Linked DNA regions of Drosophila melanogaster. The protein of the gene in region 3 purifies or fractionates together with the protein of the main gene of each other region. This does not show direct contact. Each region holds a gene or a part of one and is shown on either strand. Other genes may lie near its edges. The genes, in order: Sec16, Tango1 and Sar1.

Region 1 (5,065 bases), on a different chromosome or scaffold from region 3:
TGTCCTCGCCATCTGCGCGACGTTCTTGCATATGCAGAGCAGCTGCCTGGGCCACATTAAGTGGTGGCTGCTCTGTGGCTCCAGTGACCTGGCGTTGCTGCTGCGAATCCAACTCCGGTTGGCCCAAAACCAGACGAGACAGTCCTGGTGGTGGCAGCAGGCCCGCATCCTGATCCGCTTCACCTTCGCCCAGCTGCTCGGACAGGTGGCTGGTCTGCAAGTACTGGGCCCGTTCGTCATTTGGCGCGGACAAAACCTCCTGATTGTCCGGTTCCAAATGCGCAAAAGCCTGTGGAACAGCCGGTGATGCATAGAGCGATGCGTTAGGTACAGGAATGGGTGCAGGAATAGGTGCACTTAGTGGAGTTCCAAGTGAAGCCTCAACAGGTGGCGCCGCAATTAAGTTGAAACCCTCTCCATGAGCTTCTGCTGGCATACCAAAGAGCTGATCTGCTGGTGGCGGAATTGGTGCTACTGGTGCCACAGGAGCAATTGCAGCAGCAGGAGCTGGAGGCGATGGAGCTCCTGCTGCAGGATCTGCCATTATGTTCACTCGCTTATTTAGGCCCGTGGAACGCTTGAAGGGATTGGAACCAGACGATGGAACTATGCTAGGTGGCAGTGCGGCCGGTGGTGCAATAGTTGTAGCGTCCGCTGGCGGTGCTCCTACTGGTGGTGCTCCCACTGGTGGTGCTCCTACTCCAATGATGGGTGCTGGAGAAGCTCCTACTAAAGCGGAAGGTGCTGGCGAAGCTCCTACTCCTGCAAGATGTGCTGGTGGAGCTCCTATACCGGCGAGATGTGCTGGCGGAGCTACTACTCCAGTGGGAGGTGCTGGTGAAGCTCCTACTCCTGCGCTATGTGCTGAAGATGCTCCAACAGCATAGATTGGCGATCCCACAGCAGTCATTTGTGCAGAGAAGGAAGTCAGTGATGTTGGTGGTGGTGCTGCAGTTGGTGGTTGGTTTTGGAAAGCCTGGGGAGGCACAATGGCATCCAGTTCGGGTTCCTGCCCCAGTTCCGGCGGCGATTGTGGCTGCTGGTGCAGCAAAGGTATCGATTGCTGATTCAATGGCTGTTGTTGCAAGGACGTTGACTGCGGATTGGCTGGTGGCGGCAACTCTCCATTGTTATTGACATTATTGCTAGTGGCAAACGCCTGCCAACTGCCTTGCGAGGATTGAACATTGAAGGAATCCTCCAGCAGTTGTCCGGTTGGCTCTAACAAGCCATCGGTGCCGTTGCTATTATTGTTGTTGCTATTGTCGTTCCAATCGCCCCAATCACCCCAGCCATCGCTCCGGCCGCCACCACCACCTCCTCCGCTATTATTGTTGTCAAACGAGTCCAGAGCTGGTTCCGCTGGAGCCGGGACTTGTGGCTGCTGCTGAGTGGGATAATACAGTTGCTGCTGGATTGTATGTTGCTGCTGCGTAGGCTGTTGCTGCTGTGGTGGCAGTTGCTGCTGCGGTGGCAGTTGCTGCTGCTGCATAGGATGTTGCTGCTGCTGTCCCGGAAAGTAGTTATTGTAGTTCAGGGATTGTGGCTGCTGCTGCTGTTGATGCTGATCCTCTGGCCAATAATTTGGCTGATGTTGCTGGAACATTTGGCTGGCATAGACTTGCTGCTGCTGCTGCTGGGCAGGAAGAGTTTGCTGCTGTTGGGGCATTGCATGTTGCTGCTGTGGAGTAGGATGTTGCTGCGGCGCCTGTTGCTGCTGCTGCTGATGCGGTGGCAGCCAGGGCGCATTATTGTGCAACATTTTGGATCTGAACAAAGAAAAACAAAAGGATGTCAACTTTTTAACTCAAAAATGAATGCCTACTTATTTCTACAGAAATCACGTTAATATCCTGGTAAATCGTCAATTTAAATATCTTTTTAAGGTGTTTTCAGGTCCCTAGAGATATCTTTACCCGCAATTTGAACAGGCTTATTTTCCAAAAGAGATATTCAACCGAAAAAAGGGTTTAAAGGTATGGTATGGTAACGAAAAAACTTAATATTAAAGTGTTCGTTTCTTCGCCCAAGATATTTAAAAGGTTTCTAGGTGTTATAAGGAGTTTTCCGGGGAGATTGCAGGGGGTGGTTGCTGGATTTTGTGGGGCAGTTCAATGAACCAAACCAGTTTTGATGGAAAATTACCCGTTTTCTTGGATTTTCCTTAATGACACTTGGAAACCGTGAAGAGTGATGGAAAATACGCAATCGAATACTGAACAAAATAGAATTTAGGGTATATTATAGAGCTCACAATGAGCGGAAAAGCAAAAGTTAAAAGTTTACGTGGACGTTTGCCATATTTTGCCCCTTCTCCCTCCCACACTCTTCTGGTCTTCTTCTTCGTTTTGTTACCACCGTTTCATTGCTCTCTTACTTTTGTTGTTGTTCTCTTGACGCAGCAGGTTTTTTGTTTTACCTATTTTTTAAGCCGCTGATAATTTGTGCAGTTGATTTTTCGAATCTGACCTTAAATATACTTTTTTCATTTCTTTTTTTTTTATTTTTAAATGTTTTTTTTACCACTTCGCAAGTCAAAAGTGAAAACACTCTCTTGAAAAAAAAAATTGGAGCAGCGGTGAGGGAGAGAAAGAGACAGCACTCTTTTTTCTTTCTCTTGGCGAAAAAGAACCATACGCAGGGTTGCAATCCGGTGTTTTTTTGCGAATTTTGAGCACACAATCGCTTTTACTAGCCACAATAAACTAAAGAAAACACTTTTCAGGTGGCTTTGTCAATTATCTTTTATAAAAATAAAACACAGCCTAATATTACGAGAGAGAGAGAGTAAACACACATTCGCAGGCAGGTAGGTTGCACAAACACACATACAGCTCTCCTTTTTCTCTTCTAATTAGCTTACGCTGCACACTGACTTACACAAATCGCTTGTTTATTTACACGCACTCGGTACGGCACTTTTTTCGGCTGTACTTAACTAAAAATATTATACAAGTTACTGGTTTGCTGACGTTCTTGGGAGTTAAACAATTAAATATGAAATTTTTTCAATCCGAACGCAGCAATGAAATCAAATGCCAACTCGACTTTCGTGGTGTTGCCAGACTGCCAGCAGATAGAGATGACACTAAACAGTTGGATTGGTGTGACAGGACAGTGGTCACTTAAAAAATCATATATTCCTACATTTTAAATATTTTGTATTAATATAAATGTATAAATCTTTTCAATCGATAAATCAATTAAACAAATTAAATCAATTCCACATTTCTTGCTCGTATCCTATAAAACTTATAATTTTTTGCTGCATTGGAAACTAGACTTCGATACTCATTTAAAGTAATAAATGGACAAATGCAAGTTTTTAAAATAAGTCTATTTTTTCTGTTGGTTTTTATTATTGATCTTCAGACTTTTCATGTAGAATCATTATTAAAAGGGGATTCAAAATATTGAACAGGAAAATATCAGCAATGCCCCTTTAACGACTCGCCGAACAATCGATAGCTTACAGTTGCCCATCGCTAGCCATGCCTGTGCGTCTATCGCCAGGTGATGCGTTAACGCTTGCGTATTTTGTTGATATTTGCAAGCCACGCGAGAAGAGATGCTGCGCCTACTCGTGTCCAATTGCGGCAGGAGCAGCGACATATTTAGGTAGAGTAGGGGTCACCATCGCGGGCGAGGTTCTGGGCCGCCGACGCACGAGGATCTGCTACGGCCAGCAGTGAATTGGGGAAACAACGACTCCCCCTCGCCCTCACTCCGGTTATGTCATCAATCAGCCAACCTATTATTAACCGCCTATTTCGCTTTGTTTAGTCGCCACCTGCTGCAGCCCACGCAGCAGCCACTGCCACGCCTCCAGAATGCCGCCCGCCTGATGCGCCAACATTTGCGTGGAACGAACGCTCCCCAACCGCCCGCGATACCGCCCACAAATGCCAGCCGCCTGCTGCAGACGACACGCCTGCTTGTGTGGGGCGGTGGTAGTTTAGCTATCGGTCTGGGCGCCCGTTCCTGGTGGGCGGGGCATCGCGGAGCGATCGTTCATTGCGAAGGCAGCCGGCTGGCCATTCGAAAGGAGGAGGAGGAGGAGGACACTGCGTCGGAGCAGCACTTCGACTGGAAGCGTTTGTGGACCTACTTGGAGCCACATCTCTGGGAGCTGATCGGGGCCGTATGCGTGAGTTCTTGGATCACAAAAAGCCCACGAACAGGTGTAGCATTTGTCAAAATATTTAGCTAATTTCATTTGCAGGCCGCCCTGATAGTGGCTTATATCAACATACGCATCCCAAATCTTCTCGGTGACCTGGTAAACACACTGGCCAGATATGCCAACACGTACGTGATGGATCCGATTAACAACTCGTTCGTAAAGGACGTGAGCAAACCGGCCAGCAATCTGCTGAGCCTATACATGCTGCAATCTGGTTTCACCTTTATGTACATCTACCTGTTGAGCCGCGTCGGTGAGCAGATGGCAGCCAAGATGCGGCAGGATCTGTTCACGCAGATTGTCGTCCAGGACATCGCATTCTTCGATGAGAATCGAACGGGCGAGCTGGTCAATCGACTAACCGCCGATGTACAGGACTTCAAGACCTCGTTCAAGCAGTTCGTCTCCCAGGGACTGCGAAGTGCTGCCCAGCTGATTGGCGGCAGTATATCGCTCTTCATGATTTCACCGCACATGGCCGCCATTGCGCTGGCCAGCGTTCCGTGCGTGGTTATGTTCATGACGTATTTGGGCAAGAAACTGCGCTCTCTAAGCAAAAGCTCACAGGCGCAGGCGGAACGAGCGACGGGTGTCTGCGAGGAGGCGCTGTCCAACATCCGAACGGTTAGATCCAGTGCCTGTGAATACCGCGAGATGCAGCTGTTCGAGGCGGAGACCAATGAGGCGGCTCGCCTGGCGCAGAAACTCGGCTACGGCATCGCAATCTTCCAGGGCCTGACCAACTTCTTCCTCAATACACTAGTCCTATCTACGCTCTTTATGGGCGGCCACCTCATGTCTACGGAGAGTCTGTCGCCGGGTGCTCTGATGGCCTTCCTGGTCGCTTCGCAGGGTGTGCAGCGATCCCTTGCCCAGGGATCC
Region 2 (7,561 bases), on a different chromosome or scaffold from region 3:
ATGTTTTGTACGACGAGTTCTTTGCCTTCAGCAAGTCAACAATGAACCGCGCTCTAAATCAGCGAACGAAGCCTTTGAAAATGCATTTTTATAAAACCGGCAAGGATGACTTGGTGCGTACATAACTGATTTATAAAGTACTGATCCTAAAACTCATACTCTTTCGCAGGTTTCGAAGCACTTTAAACATCCCAAACTTAATGTTTCCTTCAGTGCTACTAGTAGCAGCTATTCACAATTACCTGACGAATGTATTGAATTGGAATTTAAACGCCCCGAGTCGTGATTCACTAAGTTAACTAGCTTAGTTAACTATTATCTAAACGGACCAAAATTGTGCTATTTAATTGATAAGTCTTTCGTCGATAAGCTGGTTATTAAAATGATTGCTGATAATAATATATAAATATAATATAAAAATATAAACCGGTTCTAAGTTCGTGTATTCAATTATTTGTAGTTTTCAATAAATGATGTATAATACATAATCTTACCTCTCAGAAATTAATATCATATTAAAAATGTGCCATGCTGATTATTTAAAAATGTTTGTTCAGAGAAAATGAATATTTTTCAATTCCACAGTAAAAACAGCTCACATTGGATTTGTGTTTGTCATTGCGTTTAATTTGTTTCAATTTTCTTGGATATCATTCACCGCTGAGACAGGAGTTTTCTTAGTTGTTCACGAACTCTCCTGAGATCCCTGTTTTGGGGAATCGGTTTGAGAGGTCGTCCCGACCCGCCCCGATCCCACCGTTCGATAATCGTTGATTAATAAATATATTTGAACTAGTTTTGAGTCTAATATACTTGGTAGGACTTGGTTGCACGGGCACACCCTGCTCCTCATACCTCGCTGTAGGGTCGCGATGTCGCGCTGCGTCCCGACGGAACGGGCGGCGGACTTGGGGGCGGACTGAAGTCAGTCTCCGTGTCATTGTAGTTGTACCGACTGTCCGACGGTGATAGCGAGCGATATGTGCGCGGCGAGTGGCTGTAGGAGCCGCGATGCCGGCGACCCCAGCTGCCGCTGTGCCGTCGACGACGGTCCATGCCCCGGTCGTCCTCCTCATCGTCGTCGTAGTCATCGTAGTCGCTGTAGTCTGAGTAACGCTCTCGATCCCGATCGCCGCGACTCGAGGGCGGCGGAGAGCGCATGCGTCCCAGGGGCGGAGGACGTGCCCCTCCCGCTCCAGTTGGAGGCAGGAATGGCGGCGGCAGACCCATGAACGGTGAGAAGGGTGCCGCCAGGAATGGCAGTGGATTTGGCATGTTCAGCAGTGGTGAACCCGGCAAGGGAAGCGGCGATGGAGCCGTTTTCAGTTCCGCCCCCAGCACGGAAGTTCCGTTGGCGGCGATGGCCTCCATTACGCCTGGATCTCCGCCTACTCCTCCTCCGCCGCTGGCCATTGTGGTCAGCTTACGCCTCAGGCTGGCAGCTTCGGCCAACGCTTCTTCGCAACGGCGCTCCGACTGGCGCGCTGCCAGCCAGGACTCATGAGCTCGGTTCTCCAGCGTGCCCATCTGAGCTTTGTGCGAGGCTATCTGGGCCTCGATCTCGGCACGCAGCTCGTCATTCTGAGATCTAAGGCGAAATGGATTTTAACATTTCTTGAAAGCGATAATGCGCGATTTTGACTTACTTCAGAGTTTGGATTTCGTTCTTCATCAGCGTCTGGGTCTCAACTGTGCTGGCATTCTCTCCCTGGTGCTGCAGCCACTTGGTCTCCTGCAGACTAAGTTCTCTGAAATGGTAATTAAGAGATAAAGACTTTCCTCAAATGTGTTTCTTGATAAACTACTTCTTAAGATCGTTCTCCTTCTCCCTGAAGTAGCCGGATAAGACTTCAAGACGCGTCTGGGCTTCTAGCTTATCGCGCTCTGATTGGTTGAAGTCCTGCTTCAGCTGCTCCACATCTTGACTTGACTGCTGCAGCTGACTCTCCAGACGTTGCTTGTGGGCCTCTTCTTGCTCCACCTTCGACTGCAACTCGACCAGCTTCTTATGGACCGCGTTGAGTTCACCGCGTGTCTTGGCCGAGGTAATCAGCTCTTGGACATTGTGGATCGCATCCTTTCCGACTGCCTTCAGGCAATCTTCGAGAGCTTCGATCTTTGCTAGACTGGTCTGCAGATCGCCATGTTCGCGCTCCCACTTGACAGTCAGCTCAACAATCTGATTCTGCAGCTTTTGCATTTCGTAATTTCTGGCTTCCAGTGCCTTGGCCAATTCCGATTCCGTTTCAGCCTGAATTTCCTGAAGACGAGTTTGCAGCTTAGACTTCTCCATCTCCAACTCGTAGTTGTCCTCTTGTAGCGTCTTCAGCTCGCTGTTGAGCCGAGTCGTGGCCTCCGTAAACGTATACTGCAGTTCGCTGTTCTCCCTACTTTTCTCGGCCAGACTGTTGTTGATTTCGATGATGATCTCTGCAAAAGTTATGGAGTTAGAATCTGCATTGAACAGGAAACTGCTTTGGATACTAAATGGTTAAATAAGTAGTCATCAAAAAGTCACATTAGTATAAGTATTAATCAACGGCGGTTCCTCACTTTCTTGGTCATTAAGCTGTCGCTGCAGTTCGTCGACGGTGCTCATGAAAGCCTCATCGCCATTCTGACCGTTAAGGACTTCGGACAGCATCTTGTTGAGCTCCAGGCCAGCCTCAGCCGCGTTATCCAGATCCTTGTAAAGAGATCCTTGTAAGCGTTTATTTGATTAAATAATATGGACCTACCCTTTCTAATGAGCCAACCTGTTCCTGCAGCTTAGCCTTCTCGTACAGCTCAGATTCAAGTTGCTTCTTGAGATCGGCCACCATGTCGTTTGAGCCGAAGGAATTGTCCTCAATGCTGGCCAACTTTGTTCGCGTAGTCATCAGGTCGTGTTTGATGATCAGGTTCTCCTTGTGGGAGGCCAACAGACTGCGCTCCAAATGGTTCAGCTTCGAAAGAAGCGCTCCCTCCTGACTACTATTGCAGAAGCAGTAGTATGCAAACATGAAGAACAAGGAAGAAATCGCGGCGATAACCACGCAAAGTAAAAGTTGGCTGTGGTCAACCAGCTTGTCGGCCATTACTTCAACAAAATTATCAAGAGATATAGAGCGATGACAGTGCTCATCTTTGGCTTGAAACCGGGCACAATATCCATCCACATCGGCAGGAGCAAAGTCTGGAATATGTAAAAAAAAAGGTATAGTATGTAACAAAACCGGACCGGATATTCTCTCTAATTTCTGAAGAATCGTATGGTAATAATGATTTAGTAAATGAATAAGCATCACCTTCCGCCTTCCTTTGAGAAGGTGGCACTTCAGGCCTTCCTGGATAGAGGATTCTATGCAATTCATCGCTGCTATCTGCTGGATCACTCTGAGGATCCTTTCCGATAAAATTGTTTACGGTGTCGACAATTGTGGCAAAGAGACCAAAGCCTGCGGCGTCCTCCTTGATAGGTACTTCCGACACGGGGCTAGCCGTCGCTGGCAGAGCTACAGGCTCCACGTAACCAACTCCCTCACGATGGTTATCCGTTTGGGATGCTTCTGTGGTCTCCTCCTGGACTGCTGCGTACGGTGATTCGGCGTCAGGCGTTGGAGTTGTATGTGATGCAGTCGATGGATGATTAAAGGCACTTTCTGTATGATGATGGTGCTGCTGATATTGCTCTGGCTGCTGCCTATTGTTGTTATCAACGATTTCGTTGGACTGCGAATCCACAGAGTCATTAAGCTGCTGCATGTTGGCTTCCTGAACGCTCAGTTGTGGCTCCGCTTCCTCACTTGAGCGCTGCAGCTGCTCTGATTCTTCGTGTAACCTTTTCTGTTTCTCGGCTTCTTCGAGTAACCTTTTATTCAGCTCAGCTTCCTCTTGCAATCTCTTCTGCTGCTCCGCTTCCTCTTGTAACCTTTTCTGTTGCTCGGCTTCTTCGAGTAACCTTTTATTCAGCGCAGCTTCCTCTTGCAACCTCTTCTGCTGATCCGCTTCCTCTTGTAAACGCTTTTGCTCCTCCGCCTCTGCAACTAGTCTCTGTTTTTCCTGTTCCTCCTGCAATTGCTTGTAATAATTATTGGGATTCTCAAAGTTCTTCTTTTCAAAGAGGGGCGGCAGACCAACAGGATCTGCTTTCTGTGGTGCCTCTTCAACGACAGGAGCGGGAGTGGTTGAACTGATTACTGACTCAGATGGCGCTTTTATTTCCGCATCAGATTGAGCAACAATAGGTTCGGTAGGGTTAACTGTTGCAGGCTTTGCTTGGATTTTAGCTGAAACCGGAACTATTTCTTCATTAATTTTATCTTCGACAATCGTTCGTGGTGGCTCAGCCACAGTTTCGGTGACCTCCTCAACTGGCAGAGGATCTGACGACTTTAATTCCACGGCTGCATCCAGTACCTGCTTCGGAAATTCCTTCTGATCAATTTGCTCTTCGAGTGCCGTCACATTTAAGGTCTCAGTGGGTAAGGAAGAATCTTCCTGCTTGGAGACTTCCATTTCTGCATGCTTTTCTTTAGTCTCATCCTTTGAATCCTCCACTTTATCTGTTTTCTTCAGTTGCGCGACCGAAAGTGGTTTCAGTTCAATCGATTCGTTAATTGATTTGTTATCGTTTGCTATCTCTACGATCGATTCGTTATCTTGACTACCTTGTTGGGAGTCGTCATCTGTCTCGTCATCCCCGTAATCGAAATCGTCAGCGTCTTCCAGTTCAGCGTTGATAGCCTGGGGCAGTGGGGGAGGTTTCTCAGCTTCTGTGGCAGGTTGCTGTGCTTTTGGCTCTTCCTGCAATTTAATGGCCTCCGAATTTAATGCCTGTGGCTCTTTCGTATCAACAACTGTCGAGTCGAGATTTGTTGCTTCTTGGGGGTCTGCTGCCGTCTCTGGAACAATGCTACCTTCCGTTGTAGCTGCAATGGCCTCCAGGGGAAGCTCAGTTCCTTCTATAACCTGCACTTGGGCCTTGGAAGCCGCAGTAGGATCAGGAACCTGCTGATCCTGCAGCTTGTCGTGCTCAACCACTATTGAATCAACGGCTATCTCAAGTGGTGACGTTGTAGTCGTTGCCAGATCATCGGTTGACTCAGAGGCGTTAAGAACAGGCTGCACTGTCGTCTCGACGCTCTGAACTGGTGTCTCCACTGACTGCACTGGACTACCAGGTCCCACCACTGGCACCTCGTACAATAGATCCTTATCCCGGACGAGGATCTTCTTTTCCATGATAAAGTCCTTATTGGCATAGCCGCGCCGCCCATTGATGTCCACACCCCACAGTTGCATATTGGAACCGGCGCTCTTGGACAGGACGCGGATGGGGGAGTTGATTTTGAAGGATATCAGCCCCTCACCACCAATGGCGTAGGTGATTTTGGCAATGCCCATCGAAATGATTTCTGCAAGCATAAACCAGACAAACGCAAAATTAATTATGCAATTTTAAGAGACATGGCTGTGCCGGAGGTCCAAGGCTGACTTGTCTGGCCATAGATTACAACTTACGTTCACATTTCGGGTCGGCGCACAGTCGCTTGTCGGAGAGAGTCGCAGCCCACGTCAAAGTTGGAAGACAGCAGATCAACAGGCCCAGGACCAGGGCCAAATCACTCAGCTGGGGCTGCATTGTTGCTTTCTCGTTGGTCAGCCGCATTTTGCATTGTTTTCGGGGCGCAGTGGTCGTGTGAAATCAACTTATTTCGCTGCAGCTACTAATTTTTTGTGTATAAAAATGGGTTCACTTTCAGCTGAGTTGGCTTTTCATTCGTGTGACCGTACTGGGTGCGCCAAGGAATGCTGTGTGGCCTCAGAAAAATACCGAAATAGGAAAGGGGCATTTCGGGTCTGTTTCAACTATTCCACAGATATGATTTATTATCAAATCTTATTGCTGTATTTAATGGCCTTTGAAATTTATATGTTTTAAATACATTCTGTTTAAGTTATCTGAATTCTAGTTCACAGTATCTGCTATCTTTTTCGACTCAGTGCGAATGCCATATACTATGCGCGCCAGATAGCGTTGTGCGAAATAACTCAGATATAGAGAACTTGGAGCAGTTGGTAACACTGGCCAGAGCTCGTAAATTGTTTCGCCAGTTTCGCGGCTCCATCGGAGGAAATTTTGTAAACCCAGTAACTAAATTTGAGTGCGAAGTAAGCCTCTTCACTTTGAATAATCCTAATGCTCGGTTTCGGAACGCTCTGAGTGCTGCAGTGGGTGGCAAACGACAGGACTATGTGCGTGTGTGTGGCTGGAAAACTTCAGCAGTGACCTTGAAAATTGAAGTTTGTTTTTTTTTTCCTTTATGCACTTCACCCGAAAATGTAACGCGCAAAATTTGGGCTAGCTTTTTAGAAAAAAGTCGCCGGTGTCCAACAAAGTACTCAGTGAAAGCTGGCGTATTGGATTCCAATTTATTATTACCTTACGAAGTGTACGGAAAAAGGTTTCCTCTGACATCATATTGTGGAATTCAGAGAGCGATTAAGAGAGCAGCGGATAACTTTGTGTGATATGCCCGATAATGTAGCCTTAAAACCAATAACTTGTGCAGTTTATAATTAAGATGCTAATTTAAGTGAAAATCCGGGAGCATGTGTACAGAAACTTATTGTTTTGATGTTGTATGTTGCTTGCGATTTAAGGGAGTGTGAGCGAGAGGGTGCGTGAAAAGAGCACACGTGGAGGGGTTGCCAGATCGTCGGCAGAGTTTAAAATGGCTTACACGTCGCCAATTCAAAAAATTTTTAAAGAACTAAAACTATAATAGGGCTATTATTTTTAGCTCAGTTTTAATTCAATCACTTTTATTAATTATAATAATCAATGTCCAGTTATTGGAAAAACGGTCTTGCTTCAGAATATGCTTGTTTTGAAATTATTGGTGTTAACGTATTTCGATCGTAATTCGTAATTTCATGAAATTCAAGAATTCTAACTTAGCATAAACAGTCCTTTATCACAAACCTGCGTGCGGGCAGTCTGGCAACACCGCCCGTTGGACACAGCATGAAAATGCGCAACTCAGTTTCTATTTCTATCTTTCGCATTTTCAACGTCTTTGTGATCGGTTGTTGTTGGGTCGCGGATGCCTAATGGTCGATAGCTGCACGCTATGCTGAATGGAGCGCGGTTCTGTTAAATGCCCTATAAAACGCCACATAAACTGATTGGCTGCACAAAGAGTAATCCTTCGCCAAAAGTTGTATAACAAAAAAAAGAAGAGATTTGGGTGCGTGGAAACAAAGTGCGCCAAGCCTTGGTGCGTAAAATCAAATACAAATATCTTGACCGAAACTGATAAAAGTGGAGAGCAAAAGAAACACGGAAATCAAAGAAAAACTTCGCAAAAAACATTAACAACTCAGTAGTCCTCCGACATGCGTGACGTAATTTGTGTATTTATTCTAAAACAAAATTCGAGGAAAAGTGAGCAGTAAGAGCGTGCAATTGTTTGTCCCTTTCGACTGCCTGTGTAATTACCAATTGCAATTTGCCTTTTAATTTGAGTTTTGCATGCAACAGGGCGCGTGTTATTCCCACAAAAATACACACTCACAC
Region 3 (6,643 bases):
AACATGATATGTAGACTTACCATAGGGAAACCTTAACGAACCATTTTAATATGCTCTCGAGTAACCTCCACATTCCTACCACTTTTTACCACGCAATCGGAAAGTGCATCATCGAAGTGCATTAAAGACACACCGTAAATACGCATTTCCCGGAATTTTCATACGCATTTTTCCGGCATAATGAGCAGCGGACACAAGCGTATTGTCCGCAATCGAATACAATTGAGCAATGCGGACAGGCAAGGAAAGCGGGAAAGGGCAGTGGAAACTGAGACTTCGAACTTTGCAAACGTTAATTAATGAGAAAATGTATTTATTTGGCGGCGTTGCGAGTCAAAGAGAATTCCGTTCTGGAAACGTAGCCGAGGCGTTGCTAATGAGCATGTGACGTTTCGGGGGGCCTGTGTCTGTGTGTGTGTCAAGGGGCTTGACAGGTGGGCAGTGGAAGTTGGGCGGTCGTCCATATGCATTTCGCTTAATGTCAGTGCAATAATATTAAGACTTAATTAATTAAAAACTGCAAGGGTATGCCGGCCGCCCAGCATCTGCAGCAACGTTGGCAATTGTTTGCATTTAATGCCCCCGGCTCAGAGCCGTAAGTACCACCCCGTGCTCTTCCAAATGCACTCGAAAAAAAGGATACTCGAATGAATGCCTTCATAAAAATATCAGTTTAATTAAATTAAATATCTTGTAGCAAATATAAAAACTAGTTGTAACTTATAATTCCCTTATTTTTCCAAAAATTTCGCATTCAATCAAAATATTATAGCACAAGTTTTTAAGTCTTTTCTTGCTTTTTCGTCAGGTGTGGGGGTAAAATTAAAAGAAGTTTACGCAATGTTTGCATAAAATGCACGCAAAAATGTCCCGTCAGCTGCTGACCATCATTTTCCGTAGGTGTTCGACGGCGACTTGTTTTTTGTTGCCGTTTTAAGTGCTTGAAATCCGTTGTGTTGACTTTATTTACCCACGCACACCCGCCGTTTGTGACCCCGCTTTGTCTTTATTTTCCATCCCCGACGCACCGCCATACCTTGGCATGTGGACGATGCTCATGCTACTCCTCCGCCTCCTCCTTCGCTCTGCTCTGGACATGTGTATGGACAACATTTGACAACAGCGTGCTTGGCCATCGGATTCCGGAAGTGCCGGTGCCCTTATTCAGCGTTTATCCGGCCACGAAGCATGCAATTACGGCCCTCTGCCAAACGGTGCGCCAGGAAATACATTTTCTCAAATTAAATATTAAATTAACGGTAAGTTAAATGCAGTGCATACATGGCGCGCCTCATCCTCCATCTTAATCCTCGGGAAATGCGGCAAACATGACGCGTCTGCTCATTGGTTACCCTCTCCATTTTTATCCCTCCATTGCAGAGCATTTGCCCGGGCATGGTAGACACGGATTTCCTTAGTGTTTACTCGCAGGCGGTAGCCGAGCTGCCCAAACTGCAGGCAAGGGATGTGGCCAAGGCCGTGTTGTATGCGCTGAACACTCCCGATGGCGTCCAGGTGGAGGACATCATCCTGCAGCAGATGCGGAAGGTCGATTGAATTTTAGTTTGAATTTCAAGAGAATTACATTTTACCCAAAACGATATTATTTGTACATTTTGTATATGTTCTTCTATGTAATAAGAGAACAAATGTACATATTTTTAAATATAAAAAATTACATTATTGCATTTCAAGCAACTGTTTCGACACTTTATATTCTTTAAGATGTTATCTGTAGATAACATCTGTATTAACATCTTATTACAAATAACATAAAAATGCAATAAAACGATAATTAAACATTTATAATATTTTGCATATTCTCTAATCGATATAACATTAAATGCGTGTAAATAGTTTGGCAACATTATGAATGCATTTATACATTCATTCATTTGAATTGGAATTGCCCGCGCATGTAGTGGAGTTGCCACCTTGCGGTAGGGCTGCCAGATTGAGTCAAAAGACCAGGGCTGTACAGCTATCGCTAGCGAGTACAACAACCACTCTTGATTTGGCTCGCTTCGCTCTAGCAGAGTTATCCACCAAAACATCGATTACTCGTGCTACCCCCAAAATCGATGGTACGAAACAAACATCGATATTTCACAGCTTTCGCTTATTGGTCACACTGGGGCTTATGATTAAAAAAAACTGAACTGACTCCAATAAAAACGTGAGGTAGAAAAAGCGAATTAGGTTGACAATTAATACACACAGCAGACGCACGGTAACCAGCCGCCAATACCGATACGAACGCGCGGCGGCAACAGCAAGTGCGCAAGTAAAAGTCCATATCAAACGCAAGCTACCCGCAGCCGCGGGCAGTTAAATTCCGAAATGCGTCCACGTAGTGCAAAATCCGAATCTCAATTCGAATTCGAATCGGAAGTCCGGATGTCTGCGCCCTTTTTATGCTTTTTTCGAGGGTGCGGCTTAGATCGGCGTGCACCTGCCGTCCAAAGTGTGATTACGAAATGTGCTCCAACGTGAAATGATATTATAAAGTATAATATAATGCATGTTACCACGTAGTTGCACACAGACAGGCAGCACACGCACACACACGCGCACACCCAGTGCCACTCACACACACACACAGACAGTGAGCGAGCGAGAGGGCAGGAGGCAGAGAAAGAATGAAATAAAGAAAGTGCTGCCCAGTTGACAAAGAACAGGTTTTAACCTAATTAACTAAATAATGGGCCCAAGTGAATGTTTCGCCGCCAGGAGGAATTTGCTTCCTTATATCCGCAAGGTCCCCGCCGCTCGAGTGTGCGTGTTGTTGTATGTGTGTCAAGGTTCCGGAAGTTGAGCCGCCGTAAAATTGATTTCCTATACACCAAGCCGCTGTTGCTGCCGCTGCTGTTGTTCTTATTGTGTTTCTGTGGCTGGACATTGAACTTGAGTCGAAATGCGCACTAACCCATTATCCATGCCATATCTCTTTTCGATCCGGCAGCCGTCTAGCCCAGCAGCTCTCTTCCCCCCACAATAAACACACACAAGCTGCTCTTGGAGCCAATCACCCGCAACCGATAGCCACACGAAACCATCAGGATGTTCATCTGGGACTGGTTCACCGGAGTGCTGGGATACCTGGGTAAGCAACGTCGCCATTGCCGACCTTGTGCCTTGGGGCGGCGTTTCTTGAACGAGTGCCAACAAGGCAGCCGCACAAAAGAAACCCAAATTCGACGGCTGTACAGCGGAGGTCGTGGTGATAGCTCTAAACGTGCGATTATCTCGAAATCTAGAGGTTAAACTGTGTCTATAAGGTGTCGAAAGCTTATAACTTTCCATTAGGTCTCTCTATCACAACAAATGCGCGTTGAATATGCATTACTCTAGGGTGCATATACAATATACACTTCTGTAAAAGGTATTTTGATTGCATAGCCATGTACTCTTCAGCCACAATTATTTAAGCAGACATTTTTGATAGGGTTTTCCTCGCTTCCAGATGGCTGCTACACTTTTATTTGCTTTGTAATGCTAAAAGTTAAAATTATTCCATACGAAAAGTACTGTTCTACAGTGCAGGCCAAACTGATAGCAGTTGTTATAAGCGCATTTTTGTTATAGCTTGATCTTTAATCAGGTTAATGATAGCCGAACATTTTGGGTAGCAAAGGTAATAATTAGCCCGAAGTCCAAGAGCTATTGTCTCGACCTCAAATGTATATTCGGCTGTCTGTGGCTGGGCAAACACAAGTGAGCCGCCACTAGTGTTAGTTTAGCTGCGTATATTAATTGATGACGCGTAAGTCAAAAGGCTATTCAACACACTTTCTCGTTTTCAGGTCTGTGGAAAAAGTCTGGCAAATTATTGTTCCTGGGCCTGGATAATGCTGGCAAAACCACACTCTTGCATATGCTCAAAGATGATAAGCTGGCGCAGCATGTGCCCACACTGCATCCAAGTGAGTTTCCTTCATGGACTAAATAGTGGTTATGTGTGTGACTTTAATTAACTAATATGATTGACTTGCAGCATCCGAGGAGCTGTCCATCGGCAACATGCGCTTCACTACATTCGACTTGGGTGGCCACACTCAGGGTAAGTGCCTAATCTTGACCAGAGCTCAGGGGAATGTGAATGTGCATCCAAATCGTTGCTATTTTCCGTACGTGCCCACGACTAAATATAGACCAGTATGCAAATATCGCAGGGCTAAGCAAGCGCAGCCGCCAGATCCACGACAATCAGCATGAAATATAGCGCATCAGGTCACCCATACAGCCAGTGCGTCTTACACTCGTAGCATTTGTTGCGATCAATCAGCGCCACACACTCGAAGCAATGCCACCACAGTGGTCACAAGCAGCTCATCCAGAGATCTCAATTATCATCTTATCTCAACTGTGATTATGAAGACCTCAGAATACTAGAATATTTAACCCATTGCATACAATCAATATGTTCATTTATGTTTAGAAAGCAATTAGTGTCTTGTTGATTTTCGCAAATACTATCTTCCTTACCACTGTGCACATATAGGCGACGTATTTATTATTAATATTATGAAGGCAAACATTCTCTATGTAGATAACAAACAGAAACGAAAAACTCGCATACATGCAGTTGATATATGTATATAAATATGAACATTATGAAAAGTGATCAAACATCGTGAAATCCAGTTGTTTTGATAACGAAGCTCTAGCACTCATTTTAAGGCAGCTCGTCATCGTGACGATCGTTTTCGCTTCGGAACTACTAGGTACACTAAAGTAGAAAGGTTCTTAGCGGCGGAAAGATATCAGATTTGTGCCTGATATCAGTGACTTGCGCTTTGTTATTCTAGCGATGTTATATAAATTACAGATTGTTGGTCAACAGCAGCGACTACTAAGGTGCCCTTGCAAATCTTGATTCAAAAATCGGAAGACTAACCCATCTAAAGACTAACTGCTGCTTTTGTATTTATGAGACATATCTACTTATTTCTGCAGCACGACGCGTCTGGAAGGACTACTTCCCTGCTGTGGACGCCATCGTTTTCTTAATAGACGCCTGGGACCGTGGCCGCTTCCAGGAGAGCAAAAACGAGCTGGATTCGCTGCTCACGGATGAGGCGCTGTCCAACTGCCCCGTGCTCATATTGGGCAACAAAATCGATAAGCCCGGCGCGGCTAGCGAGGATGAGCTGAGAAACGTGTTCGGACTGTATCAGCTAACAACCGGCAAGGTGAGCACCAAAACCACCTCCCTCCCTCCCTCCCTCCTTACTCCTGCTACATAATTGATATCCATTTGACTTGCAGGGCAAAGTTGCACGCGCCGATTTGCCCGGCCGTCCTCTGGAATTGTTCATGTGCTCCGTGCTGAAGCGACAGGGCTACGGCGAGGGTTTCCGTTGGCTGGCGCAGTATATCGATTAAGTCAGCATTAGCAACCACCACCAGCACCATATTTTCAAGAACACCACTCAACACTCAAAACCGAAAACTTGGCTACAAAATTTCCAAAAATGATTAGAGACCGCAGAAAGAACAGAACCCAAGGGATGTGAACCCAGCCCAATTCAAACCGTCAGACCTTAAGCAAAACGAAGCTGCGTGCGCAATTTCTAATTTATACAAAACAATTACAAATATTTCATAATAATAAAAAAAAAAAAACAGAAAACCATACAATGTACATCTGTAACACACAAGAAATCGCGGGAAAAACAGAACACAACATCAAAGTGAAGACAACTTTTCTATCTGGAACATCGGGATACATTGTAAGGAGCTGAAGGATGCGCGGAGTGCGCAAGGGAAACTTTTAATAATAATTATGAGTAACAAATTATAGCAAATTAAAGGTGATTTATTTAAGAGCATGTGCTTTCAACGAACGCTGTTTCGCCAATAAAATGTAGCCACCTACCTTTATTTCAAGTTTATGAATTGTAAATGTCGCTATTGATTTCCTAAATAGTTTACTTTGGCCGCAAAACATTATGTACATCCCTATAAGGATTCGACCTCCGATAAATGGTACACCTTAGTTTAGCTAAAAATTTTAAGTTGCATGTCATCGATGTACTTTGTTTCTTTTATACAATACGAAAGGGAAAGCAATTTATATAAAAAAGCATTTTTGTTTGCAGACAGAATTCTAAATAAAACGGAGAAAAGTAATTTTGTAAAATACATAAATTGGTGACTATTGTTGTTTTGCATTGGATTTATGTGCCGAGCTTGAATGAAACCCAGCGATGTACAAACATATTGGATTCATTTATTTATTTGCATTTAGGGTTTACGCTAATGAGTCACGTCCGGAGCATCTATTGAAATCAGGGAGCAGGCATTCGATGAGGGCGAGCACGGGATCCAGGAGCTGCAAACATGCTGGTCCAAGTAGAAAAATACACAAAACTCTGCAGAGTATGATCGCGACCTCAGTGCTAACTGAGCCGGCAGCGGCGGGGCAGTCCTCTCAGCAGCATCAGTTGGCGTTGAAAGAGGCGCATGAGCAAGCCCTTGCGCTTGGCCCGCTCCCTGGATCAGGAACGCGATGATCCGCCCATGGAGCCGGACCCGGAGCCGCCGCCAGCCATGCGCCGCTTCTTTTTCTTCTTGGCCGTCAGACTCTCCTGGCCGCTGTCCGTGTTGGAATCGCCGCCATCGTCGCTCTCCTCCTCCTCCG

Evidence for each region.
Region 1: the proteins of Sar1 (region 3) and Sec16 purify together in Drosophila melanogaster (affinity purification with western blotting, with the first as the bait; one study listed by BioGRID). This does not show direct contact.
Region 2: the proteins of Sar1 (region 3) and Tango1 purify together in Drosophila melanogaster (affinity purification with western blotting, with the first as the bait; one study listed by BioGRID). This does not show direct contact.

Annotation. Positions count from the first base shown.
Region 1 is NC_004354.4:12,594,050-12,599,114, reverse strand, and holds the start of Sec16 (secretory 16), read right to left. Parts: upstream 3,069-5,065; 5' UTR 2,881-3,068; intron 2,440-2,880; exon of another isoform or gene 2,378-2,439; intron 2,215-2,377; exon of another isoform or gene 2,146-2,214; intron 1,770-2,145; 5' UTR 1,763-1,769; coding exon 1-1,762. Other genes in the region: CG1824 (uncharacterized protein), read left to right, coding at 3,569-3,618, 3,784-4,147, 4,223-5,065.
Region 2 is NT_033779.5:6,647,622-6,655,182, reverse strand, and holds Tango1 (transport and golgi organization 1), read right to left. Parts: upstream 5,796-7,561; 5' UTR 5,651-5,795; coding exon 5,503-5,650; intron 5,397-5,502; coding exon 3,288-5,396; intron 3,176-3,287; coding exon 2,739-3,175; intron 2,687-2,738; coding exon 2,554-2,686; intron 2,431-2,553; coding exon 1,806-2,430; intron 1,749-1,805; coding exon 1,647-1,748; intron 1,589-1,646; coding exon 850-1,588; 3' UTR 609-849; downstream 1-608. Other genes in the region: CG31633 (uncharacterized protein), read left to right, coding at 1-113, 170-286. UniProt on the Drosophila melanogaster protein: Required for protein secretion. May participate in cargo loading by binding to COPII coat subunits and guiding SH3-bound proteins into a growing carrier.
Region 3 is NT_033777.3:22,354,569-22,361,211, forward strand, and holds Sar1 (Secretion-associated Ras-related 1), read left to right. Parts: upstream 1-2,116; 5' UTR 2,117-2,230; exon of another isoform or gene 2,231-2,479; intron 2,480-2,948; exon of another isoform or gene 2,949-2,962; 5' UTR 2,963-3,060; coding exon 3,061-3,103; intron 3,104-3,803; coding exon 3,804-3,923; intron 3,924-3,994; coding exon 3,995-4,060; intron 4,061-4,956; coding exon 4,957-5,192; intron 5,193-5,268; coding exon 5,269-5,385; 3' UTR 5,386-6,143; downstream 6,144-6,643. Other genes in the region: rdhB (retinol dehydrogenase B), read left to right, coding at 1,124-1,259, 1,381-1,557; JMJD6 (jumonji domain containing 6), read right to left, coding at 6,501-6,643.